Caenorhabditis elegans: one gene and its partner. The protein of the gene in region 1 purifies or fractionates together with the protein of each later gene. This does not show direct contact. Each region holds a gene or a part of one and is shown on either strand. Other genes may lie near its edges. The genes, in order: syp-6 and math-42.

Region 1 (5,431 bases):
GCCCGCGTCATCAACCAAAGCATTTTTTCCACCCATCACAATGATTTTATCATTTTCTTTAAAATTTAAAGTAGAAAGGGAGACATCGTCGGCGCCTTGAAGAAACTTTCCTGTAAAATACTTTGTCTCATTATTCCAAAAAATCAGAAACAACCTCTGTGCAACAACTTCATGGTTTCAACATCAACATCATTGTCGGTGGCGATTCGATCGCGTAGCTGCCCAAGTGTCAAAATAGATTCGTCTTCTCCTTGATTTTCCTCAAGAATGTCGATTGTAGTTTGAACGGATGAACACGACACATTCACCTTCATTTCTGAAAATTGATTTTGAGACAGTTTTAGCAGTGGGAGAAGCCTCCGAGTGTCGATAAATAAGAAATTGGAACAAAATTATTGTTAACTTATTAGAAAATTAAGAAACTTCTAGAAATGACGAGAAGCTTATGCGAAAATCAGTTCCTCCACGAGGTGTACACATCGATTGCAATGGGGCGCACTCGCTCAGAGACTTCAGAGAAAAACGATTCCATAGACAATGAATCACCGTTTTCGTACGATACTGTGAGGGACATTAAATTAGCCCATTTTTGTTTTTAAGTCACAATACGAGAGCACATGATAGTTTTTATATTGGACATGTAAGAAACACAATGTATGAGCAATAAAATAAACAGTGAGTTGGGTGATAACCATCGGTTGAATAATAAGTATGCAATTATTTACAAGAAAATTACTTATGGCTGGAAACTTTTTTCAATCGCTCGAGAATGGCATCGAGTTTGTAAATTGTCTCCTGGTCAATCTGTTTGTAGATTTTGTCCCGATTTTTAACTATTTTGCGAAAATTGTGAATGCACTCTGTTGCTTTTGCAGCTCGCTCTTCAGCTACCACATCGACTCCAATTCGCCGAGTTTTGGTGGATGCAAATCCGATGATTGTGTCCAGTAAACTGTTGGTAATTGATGCAAGAGCCTTCAAGCAAGCCGATCGCTTCCCATAATTGTCGCTCGTGATATTTTCTGAATTACAAAACATTAGAATAAATTTATCAGGAAGCAAAACCAACCCATGATAAATGTTAAACAAGCATGGCACGAGTTGAGACACCAAGAGTTTCTACTATTCAGAATTCTAATGACTGTGGGAGCGAGTTGGTTGTCGTTTGACAATATCTGTTCCATGTTACTTGTGAAACTCTTCATCTTATAAACACGAAGATCTGAAAAGAAAACATAAACTGAAAAATCAAAACTCTGCAAATCCTACTTCTGCTCTCTCGCTTCGCACAAACACCGATTTTATTCACTTCCTCGGTGCATGCGGACCACAACGACGCGTTTGATGACATGACTGACACGGATGATTCTGGGGAGGATTTTGGCAAAGAACTGCTATGTTCTTCACCTCTCGAAACCGGGTTCCGAGACAATTCCTTCTTCGACTCGGAATGCAATGGACGTCTTGAGCGAGTATTTGTGAACTCGGGCAGATCGGCTTTCACAGTTCGAGAACTCCCGATGAAAGTGATGGGAACGTCCTTTTCCGCACCGCGTCTGAAAAAAATATAATCGCTTCAGATACTTTTTTCGTAGAACTCACCGACTCGAAGTAGATCTTGTATTTGGTCTGTTTTCAGCGGATTTCGGAATGTCGTTGAGAGGCTTCCTATTTTTTGCATGTGTTAGTTTTTTCCGGTCGTCAAGCCCTGACATCTGAAAAATTTCAAAATTTCAAATTTAAGAAGAGACAAACATTTTATAATTGGAAAAAAACACAAGATATCAAAATTAGACGAAAGAAAGGAACTAGTAAACAAGAAAAAACCGTTTTCCCGCATAAAAGAAATTCCCGCGTAATTCTTTGAAGTACTATCGTACCCCGCATGAGCGCTGCGGGACCCGAATAACATCTCATATGCGCCTTTAAAGTTTTTAATATAAAGCTGGATTTTTTAATCCTAAGTATTTACTTTTGCCTCATTCCAATGAATTCTTGAAACGATATATTTAATATTTAATTTAGTTCTTATAGTAAATGGCTCCAGTACTTGGTTTGTTGGAAAATGAAGCGAAAGTCAAGTCGATCATCAGAAAGTAAGTCACCAAAAAAAGAAACAGTTTATATTAATTTAATTTCAGCAATAACCTACTCGAAAAAAAGTTTTCGAGCTTTCAAAGACAGTGTAGAGACCTATCAAGAAACCATGCACTCCGTAGGCGATTTTCGTTCTTGGTTGCAAACGAATTACATTTTTTCAGTCGATTCGTGTTGTTCACAAGTCAAACATTCGGCAACAGCCGCAGAAGAAATGTCAGTCAGCGATAAAGATGTGAAAAATCACCAGAAGAAACTTCATTCATTTTTGGCACAGTCTACTGATCAAGGTATCATTTTCCTTTTAACTTTTAATATTTTAGTTTTCGTGTTTCAGTTAACTCCACGATTGATAAAATGGATTTTTTCTGTTCCAAGGGCAATCACTCTCTTCCGATGGAAATGTCAGTGCTTTCGATCACACTTCCATATGAAGCGTGTATTGAAAAATCTGCAAAAAAACACGAAACTATGGTTTTTTCCATTGATGAAGTTTCGAGTGCTGTTCAGCACCTGGAAAATGAAAAAGTCGATGTGGAAAAGCGTCAATCTTCAACAGGCAAACTTATATTTCAAACTGAAAAAGAAATTATGAAGCTAAAAGAAGAGATTCAAGTAAATACAAATCTCGAGTCAAATATTATTCAATTGTCTCTGGAGAAGCTTTCTTCAGTCAAAGACTCTTCTACGAGTGAAAATGTTTATAAAGCGAAACTGGAAGAGGAGGTATTTCTGTTTCATAAAAAAGGATGTAAAATTTATAATTTAGATAAACGAAGCCAGGCAAATATATGAAGACGCATTGAAACAGGATGTGATCAGCCAAGAATCAGCTATGATGACCCAGCAACTAGAATCTCTTAATGAGTTGTGCTCTGACCTCAGTGATCTTAACAAAATTAATCTTACATCTATCGAAAAGTTTCCTGATTGCAATGAGGTATGCGAGCTCTCCGATGAACTGCAAACTCTTGAAAAGTCTGAAGCTGAAAACTCAGAAAGTATAATAAATCTCGAGGCGTCGTTGGAAGATATTAAATATCAGAACAAGAAAGTCCGTAAGAGTTTTGATCAAATAAACCAATTGGAAAACGCATATATCGTTAAAAAAGAGGTTCTGACTCGGAAGAAATCTGCTATCGAGGACGTCAAGCGACAAATTGCTGAAAGCAAAATCACATTAAATAAATTGAAAGTGACTGTCCGTGCTGTGGAACGATCTGACACCCCAGAGAATGTGGAATCAAAGAAAGAAGTATTTATTCATTCAAATTCAGTATATTACAAGTCTTGTTTCAGGAGGCTTTTCGGCGTCTCGTGGCATCTAGCACTGAACTTCCCGGACCAGAGTCATTCCAGCGTGACAATGTTCGAAATGTGGAGAAATCATTGCGTTTTAAGAAGTGGAACCAAAGAACCACGTCGCAGTCGTCGTTCACTTCAGGTAAGATGTTTAATTGTTTTTATACCAATTTGATTACAACCACATGTTTACTTTTTTGAATAACAAAATACGACGCTTTCAAAGAAGTTTGCAAAGTTTTTTTAATAGACTTTGTGTCAAAGAAGAAATAAATTTATAATTATTTATAGTTTTAGATTCAACACGATCTATTGGACCGATTGGTGTGCATTATCCAGGGATAAAACTTATCAACAAAGACGCTGCAACGCCCACTGAAGTTATTCGGAAGATTACATCGGAGCTAAATGAATCTGCTACTTCTGAAGATTCAACATTCGATGACGATACAGGCACAACACAGGATGAGTCTGGATTGAATGCATTCTTTAATTCTCCGGTTAGCAAAGAACAAACTTCAATGCGTCCACAGTTTTCAATGATTGCTCATATGGAGAAGTATGATACAATGCAGGCCAAGAAAAACATGGATAAATTGCCTGATAATGTTCGCCGAGAAAGCGAAATGGAACACATTTCCCATAATTACGGCCGTAATAATAATTTTTACAGTACGAAAAATTCTGATTACTTCAGGTCCCTCTGAAGTTAACCGCCCGGCGAGTGTTTCATCTAAACGCCACGATCCGGCTGCAAGTATATCGGCAACATCGGAAGAGTCGATCCTATCTGGAACCACTCAGGATGAATCTATGCTCAATGATTTCTTCAATCCAACAGGCACCGACGAAAAACTTAACGACGTTGAGTTTTCCATGACTGCGCATGTGGCAGAATTCGATAACAGACAAAAAGCAAAAAGAGCTGCAGAGCAAATTAAGAAGAGTTCTTCAAAAATATCTGGCAAAAAAGAGGAATCAGTTGCAGATGATAAAAGTGGTTCTTGAATTCTGAATAAGCTTGACAATTTGCAACTATTTTCAGGCTCTGGCAACAGCTACGTAGCTGAAAGTGAAGCTGGCTTCTCACAAGGATCTGAGGAAAACGAATCCATGGATGATGAGGTTTGTGTCTCTTAATGGAATATTCATGAAACATTTATTGTTTTCAGGATTTGGTTGCTCCAGATGATGGCGGTCTAGATCAAACGATTTGGGATGGTGACGACTAAAACTTTCTACATTCTAATTTAATTCATACTTTTTTGTGTTCCTCTTATACGGAATTTTCGCGTAATCTTGTACTATTCCATCATGTTCCTATTGTTTGTGATCTGTTATAAGTTATAAATCATTGTTCTTTAATATTTCAATATTATTGCTGTCACTGTCAAAATGCTAATTAAATTTATCTTTAAAAATCAATTTAAATGTTTAAGTCCTGTAAATATTTATTAAACCGTCGAATTTCAGGAAAAATAACTGTTATAAAATTTATTTTACATGTTAACATGCATGTTAGAAAAGAAGAATTTTACATGTCAACATGCATGTTAGAAAAGAAGAGTACTTGAGAAATTACAAAAGTTTGTATGTATTTACTTGTTTCAATAGTTTTCATTTGTCTGTGGTCGTTGTCTCGCTGAAAAAGACGGGCGGTGCGAGAAAAAGGGTTTTATTTGGACACTAAACTCAATAAAGATACACTTTTTTGATTTCGCTCGCTAAAACTTTTCAATTTCAATACTTCACTTTTGCATCATTTTTCGTGCAGCTCTCTGCGTCTCCGCTTTCAAACACTTCTATTTTGGGTCAATTCTGTTTTTTTTCTTGTTCAGTTTCGAATCAATAGTTTAGCGCGGCTCCAAACATCTAGAAAATCCTTCAAGAAGAGAGCACGAGAAATTGAGAATTTCTTGAGAAATGAGAGAAATGTTAGAGATACGTGATAGAAGAGTTGTTTACGTGCAAAAATCTCACACAGAAAACGTTTCTCAATTTTATTCTCATTTCTTTCAACATTTCAATAAGT
Region 2 (7,051 bases), on another chromosome or scaffold:
CATCGGGTATTGTTAAAAATGTACGATTGCTTTTGAAAGAAATCAAGAATCAGACTACAACTGATCTGAGACACTTGAAAAATTTGGACAAATACTCGAAAACGTTTGGAGAGGCTGTGAAAGCATTGGTTTCTATCAAAAAAGCATTCGATCACAAGGATGATTTTGAGAAGTTCATTGAGAAAGGTATGATGATTCAGAAGATAATCGAAAACTTAAAAAGCAACAAATACACACCACTCTTGAAGTCTTTATTTGGAAACTTCAGACACACAGTTCTCGAAATCGCTACATTTTTTTACAAGGTCGATACGTGGGCGGATCAAATCGTTGACCCGAAAAAACTCAAGTTTCATCAATTTGGGGATTGGCTCGCAAAATTGGCTAGTTTCGAAGACATAAATCTACAGTTAGAGAATCGATTGATTCGAGCTACATGGTGGGATGATATCTATTCAGTAAACAAAACAGTCAAGGTAGAATTTGAAGAAGCGGCGTTTGCACTGTCAAAACTGGATCTTAAATTCTCCGTCTACAAGTCCTCCCTTCTCGCAATGCCAAGAGTCATGAGACAAATTGAGAAAGTGCTCAAGAACGAGACAATCGAAGTGCAACCAGAACCAATCAAGTCTACATATCACGGTCCAAAAGTTGTATCCACTATTTATTACGAGTAAGTATAACCATTTCATTTGCAATTATTTTTTTTACGTTCAGAATGACCATCTTCCTCATCGCTTATGCCGCTGGAAACCTATTGATTGCTGCGATTTGGTGCTATTGTGAGGAAGACTGTTTGTTTCATATTTTGAAACGGCGGTATTATAATAAATTTGATTAAGTGAGTAGTTCTTACCAATTAATGTGCTAATGATTTCAGTTTTCAGAGCCCTTGATTGCTGAAGAAGACCGCCTATTAAATATAAAAGAGTCCTAACAAAAAGTTAACTTTTCTGTGGTAAATAAACTTTGTAATTGAGATTCTAAATACGATGATCGTGCTTTGATGACATTCTAGCTGAATCTTTCCACTTTAAAAGTTCAATATTTTCATTTCAAAGTCAAAGTAGCAATAAAGATCCGGCAGGTGATGGTACCTCATTTGATCATCTGAAGGCGATTTTTCCGAAGCCAGATCCTGCTTTTTTAATTATTTTTTGTCTTGGCACATACATCTTTAGACGGTACCATAGATTTGGAATATGTGCCTAACTGGAAAGAATAATGAATAATTATTCCGAATATTTAATACAATTATTTCGCGAAAAAGTGAGTTGAAAGAGTTTTCGGGATTCCTGGGCATGACTGTTTTGACTCATGATTCTATTCCTTGAATAATTTCTGAGCTCTCTGAAATTCCTGGAATTTTCACTTTTTTTGGCTACAGCTCCTATTCCATTAAAGATTGCTGAGGTATCTAGAAATCCTGAAGAGGGTGATATATGAACCCCTACTATGTGTCGAATTGTTGGGTTTGCCCTCCTACTTCCGGCGCCTACTCATTGGAACACTTCTGGAATAGATTCATCTGGACTTTGAATAGACTTTCTAGAACCACATCTCTAAAACGTACATCAACTGGATCATCCTTACAGAATCCGAAACTTGAAGCCATTTTGTTATTTTAGCATTAAATTAGTCAGTGATAACAACCCTACTACCGCCACTCCACATTCAAGTGTCACAACTGATAAGAATTTTTATTTACCCGTACTGCTCCTCCAGCAGTCGTTTATTTTGTTAATAATCCTTTTAAACACAGATTGATCAAACTATTTCTTTGTTTCTCTTTTTTTTTGAAGATAATTTTAATATTCATAATTACTATCAAACCCCATCAAGCATCCGTTATTTTGTTCAAGTTCATTGAAAGTATTACAATTTATTGATTTAAGATAATTGTTAATGTTCGGATTCCGGAAAATTGTTATTTTTTACGATTTTCACAGTTTAATAAATTATTCAACGAGAACAGAAAATGTATTGCAAGTCTTAGAACAATAATATTCAATCGATGTTTAGTCCGTAGTACTCACTCTGTTTGCATACTGATAAGAAAGTTCATAACTCCATCTTTCTTTCTCTTCCTCCAATTTCTTTAATACCACAACTCATTTACCATCCATCATTTTGCAAATAATTTACAACTCGGTGTGGTTTCAGAAAATGGCAGGTAGACCATTTATACTTATTCATACATTCAAGGATTTGTCAAAACTCAGAGAAGGACAGAGTTACTATAGTGATATTGAAGTACGATACAACATTCCATGGTTAGTCATATCAATTATAAATACGGGTTCTTAATAGTTATATGTGAAGTAGTGCAACGGGGAATTGCTTAAAAATCTTAATCCGATACCAAAAATTATGTTTTCTTAACTTTTATTTTTATTTGAAATTTCAAAAATATCAGTTGTTACCTAATTAAATTTAAATTCTCTCCGTTTTCACGACCAGTACAATAGAGCGGTGTTTCTCAATTTTACTTTTAAGGAGACTGCGCATTTTCAAGAATGATGGATTTCTTGGTGTAAACCTGCACTGTGAAAAAGAGGAGTGTATTGAGACAAAAAAGTGGACGTTTCAAACGAAATTCACTATGAAATTAGTAACTGTAGGTGGAAAGTTTTTCCGACGGATTGTACAACATGAATTCCAAAAACCGGAAGGATATGGAATGGATAAATTCATAAGTTGGGAGAATATGCTAAGGGATTATGTGGATAATGATAGTACTATCATTGAAATCCATGCCGATATTGTGAGCAGTACAGGTTTCTTTGAAGTCAAGTGTAAGATTAGATTTATGAGTAGTACTCCCGATTAACAAATTCCAGATCTTCCAAATCTTCAACCAGATTCCAATAATTCATTTGTTCTGAAACATACGTTCAAGAACCTTTCGAGATTTGAGGAAGATGAAAAAGATTTCAGCGATGCAGTAGATCATTACAATATTCCCTGGTATTTTATTGGTGCACTATTAGGAGATTCATAATTTTTCAGGATAATCGAAATAATAAAAACAAACGAATTTCTTGGGATCTACCTGAACTGCCAAAAAGAATACCATGAAGGGAGGAAATGGTCAATAAAATGCAAATATGAATTTAAATTGATTTCTGCAAGTGGTAATCTTCATTCAGCACAGCAAACGACTGTGTTTGGAAATGGATCGTCGGGCTGGGGAGACAATACATTTATTAGTTGGAATGATATGGAGAACGAATATGTGAACAATGACAGTATCGATGTGGAAATTTCTGTTAAAATAATTAAATTCGCAGGTTGGACTTGTTTTTTAGATTAACAATATCAAGGATTATTTTGAGATGAGCCATGTACAATGCAAACATTTGCACTATCCCATACTATCAAGAACATGTCGAGTATTAGAGAAGGAGAGGACTACGATACGGACACTCAATATCGTTTCAACATTCCATGGTTTGTTGTTTTGTTTAAAAATGTGTTTTTTATTAGTTATCTTTATCATCTGTTAAAGTTGTTCAGTTGAACAACATGAAATTCAACATGAAATCGCTATGATATCTGGGCTTTGACTTATTCATGTCAATTCACTTTTTTTGTTAATCGTATTAAATACATACATACAATTTTTGAGTGTGAGGAGAATAGGTACTGATGGGTAATATGAGCGTAATAGAGGAAAACAGTAGTGCATAAAATATGCGGAGCCAATATATTATAAGATTCGTCATGTCTTTTTTTTACAAAAATTAAATAGCTTGGATTTCAATGGGACAAATGAATATGTATCGAACACAAAAAACCTATTCATACTAATTGCCATATTCAATACTTCAGGAGACTGCAAATTCAAAGGCAAAACGGGTTCTTTGAAGTGTTTCTTCTATGTGAGAAACAACTATGTAAATCCAGAAAATGGTCAATTAAAACTGATATTCAATTGAAAATAGTGCCACCAAATGGGAGAAGTTTATTGTTAAGTGCGATATGTGTGTTCGATAGACCAAGCGGTTCCGGATGGACTACACTCTTAAGATGGAACAGTTTAGAAGAGAAGTACCTAGTCAACGACACTCTCCTTATTGAAGCTCAAGCAATTATTCTCGAAATGACAGGAATTGGAGAGGTAGAAGAAGTAGTAGAAGAAGAAGAGGAAGAGACGACGGACGAATCTTTGAATGAAGAACTAATTAATGAGTAATCGAGTGTTGAGATTTAAAACTAATTCAACCAAGTATTTTTCAGAAAACAATTCTCTCTACCGTTCACAGTCAATAATGTTTCAAAGTTTCAAGACGGTGAGAAACAATGGAGCAATACAGAACAGCATTATGATATTTCATGGTAAATTATAATATTTCAAAAACCATCACCTCAGAAAAATAATTTTTTTCAGGAGACTTCGAGCTAGAAAAACGTTAGGCTTTCTTGAAATTGTTTTGTTTTGTAATGAAGAATATTGTATGGCTTGGAACAAGATAATAGAAGCTGATTGCACATTCACATTGGTTTGCACAAATGGCAGTAATATAGAACAAACATTGAAACTCGTTTTTGATAAATCAGGTGGACAAGGTATCAGTCGATTCATTCGATGGGACGAAATGGAGAAGTACTATCAGCTTAACGGCAGTGTTAATATACAAGCGAAAGTGAAACTGAACAAGGTGGAAGGTTGGAACTTTTAAATGTTTGCCTTTAAACCAGGGGTATGCGGCAAATTTGTCGAATTTGCCGAATTTGCCGTTTGCCGAGCACGGCTAATTTCAAAAAAGTAGATTTGCCGAATTTGCCGAGCTCGGCAAATTTCGAAGTTTGCAGCACACAACAAAAAATTTGACAATAAAATTTTGACGAAAACTATTGATTTTGTCCCCAAAAACTTAGTAAAATGGCACAAAGTTGAGTTATTTTGATGCTTAAGCAGACACACTACACGTAACTTATTCAGCAACTAGATTTTTGTTCAGAATTCAGTAGTTTTGGTGCTCCAAAAAACATCAAAAAATATGTAATTTTTCCGAGTTTGTTGAGCACGACAAATTTGCCGAATTTGCCGAATTTTCCGTGCTCGGCAAATATTGGAAAAATAGATTTGCCGAATTTGCCGCACACCCCTGCTTTAAACCCCTAGCCGGCTTTGTGGGCCTTTGGGCACTTGCGATCTGCTCAGGACTGACCCACGTTGTCTATTCTTACTACCATTAGCACCTAATGTGGTCGTTTACTATATTAAAAACCACCCCTGAAATTTTTAGAACTTCCTTGCGAGATTTTGCCAGCTGCAAAAAGTTTTACATTGTCTCACACTGTCGCAAATATTTCAAACATGCGTAAAGGAACTACATCCTTCAGTAATTCAGAAGAGTGGAATTACGCTTTATGGTAAGCAACTAAGGGTTTTTTTTTGTGAAATGTTTCCATTTCAGGAAAGTGTGCTTGAAGAACAACAACGGCTTTGCCGAGTTATTCCTGAATTGCGGAAATGAGAACAGTGAGCAAGAGTCGCGGACCGTTGAGGCTAAGTATCAACTCTCTCTTGTTGGAGCTGGTGGGAAACAAATCTCCGAATTTTTCGAGCACAATTTCGAGACACCCGATTCGAACGGGGATCCTAAAGTCATCAGATGGAAGGATATGTTGGAACAGTATGCGGTGGATGATAGTGTGAGAATCGAAGCTCACGTTTCGTGTGTTCCGATAGCAGGTTTATTGTAGAACTCTATTCAAAATGTGTTATATGTAGTTTTACAGATGATCTACCAGCTAGCTCCCTCGTAATCAAGCATGTTGTCGAAGAAATTTCAAATATAAATGAAGCAGAATATAATTACAGCAAAACCAAAAAACATTGTGAAATTCCATGGTTAGTATGCCAATGTATCACAAATCCAGTGTACCCTTTTTCAGGAGAATTTCTGCTCAAAGAAAACAACAGCGCATTTTGCTTCACCTTCACTGTGATAAGCCATTAACCAACGATGAAGACTGGTCGATTGAAGTAGAAGTTCAGCTCATTCTAGTGTCAGACACTGGAAGAACACTGACAGATATTTATGTCACTCATATATTCGAAAGAACAGAAGGAATTCATTGGACGAGGGATTTGACATGGGAAGATATGAAGAAAGATTACATGGTTGATGATAGCGTTAGAATTGAAGCTCGTGTAAAATTAGTGGAAGCAAGGGATGACAAAAGTTATGACGTTATCACAGATGATGCTACCACCTCAGAACAGTAATCCGAACTGTGAAGTTACGTGGAACACTCGGATATAAGGATTTAGACAAGAACTATAACACATTTCTGTTGAATAATACGGTTAAATGTATCACAATTTGTACCTATTGAACTCGTTTTTAATGTTTTATTTTAATAAATGATGAAACAATATAAGTTTGAAGTTAAATAAAAAAAGGTGTACATGGTTACTTGAATCATAGACGGATTAAAAGGTAAATCGAAGAAAAAAGTGCCCTGAAACTAGCAATCATTGGACTTTGTAATGACTTTTAAAAACGATTGTACGACACCATATTACTGAGAATGGGACGAGGGCCTCCAATAACAGCCCTAAAATCAATGTGAAGAATAAAAATTAGTATTGTTAGCCCTGAAACAAACAAACTGCAATCGATTTTTTTTGTATCAGTGCTCAATCTGTTTGCATACTGATAAGAAAATTCATTATTCCATCTTTCTTTCTCTTCGTTCAATTTTTTTTACAAATATTTTACAATTCCGTATTGTTTCAGAAAATGTCAGGCAGACCATTCTTGCTAATTCACACATTCAAGGATATATCAAAATTCAGAGAAGGAGATCGTGACTATAGTGATATTGAAGTACGATACAACATTCCATGGTTAGTCATGTCATTTTTAAATATGTGTTTTTAAATGTTCCAGTTTTTACAACCATTACAATATACTGGGCTTGCAATTTTATTCTCGATTTTTAATTATCAATTAAAATAAAAAGTTATACTTTTTCTCTATTTCTTTCTTGCTTAACAATTACAATTTTCAAAATTTGAAAAATAATTGCATGTTCG

Evidence for each region.
Region 2: the proteins of syp-6 (region 1) and math-42 fractionate together in Caenorhabditis elegans (co-fractionation; one large-scale study listed by BioGRID). This does not show direct contact.

What each region holds. Positions count from the first base shown.
Region 1 is NC_003279.8:6,564,136-6,569,566, forward strand, and holds syp-6 (Thyroid receptor-interacting protein 11), read left to right. Parts: upstream 1-2,020; 5' UTR 2,021-2,037; coding exon 2,038-2,096; intron 2,097-2,141; coding exon 2,142-2,215; intron 2,216-2,261; coding exon 2,262-2,387; intron 2,388-2,434; coding exon 2,435-2,823; intron 2,824-2,866; coding exon 2,867-3,352; intron 3,353-3,396; coding exon 3,397-3,541; intron 3,542-3,690; coding exon 3,691-4,053; intron 4,054-4,096; coding exon 4,097-4,399; intron 4,400-4,444; coding exon 4,445-4,524; intron 4,525-4,571; coding exon 4,572-4,631; 3' UTR 4,632-4,758; downstream 4,759-5,431. Other genes in the region: bag-1 (BAG family molecular chaperone regulator 1), read right to left, coding at 1-110, 155-314; mei-2 (Meiotic spindle formation protein 2), read right to left, coding at 733-1,022, 1,070-1,222, 1,270-1,556, 1,603-1,715.
Region 2 is NC_003280.10:2,097,769-2,104,819, forward strand, and holds math-42 (MATH domain-containing protein), read left to right. Parts: upstream 1-2,157; 5' UTR 2,158-2,166; coding exon 2,167-2,273; intron 2,274-2,496; coding exon 2,497-2,795; intron 2,796-2,840; coding exon 2,841-2,967; intron 2,968-3,009; coding exon 3,010-3,290; intron 3,291-3,335; coding exon 3,336-3,450; intron 3,451-3,831; coding exon 3,832-4,191; intron 4,192-4,239; coding exon 4,240-4,338; intron 4,339-4,390; coding exon 4,391-4,668; intron 4,669-5,252; coding exon 5,253-5,379; intron 5,380-5,423; coding exon 5,424-5,701; intron 5,702-5,748; coding exon 5,749-5,860; intron 5,861-5,904; coding exon 5,905-6,238; 3' UTR 6,239-6,412; downstream 6,413-7,051. Other genes in the region: T16A1.2 (uncharacterized protein), read left to right, coding at 1-673, 718-841.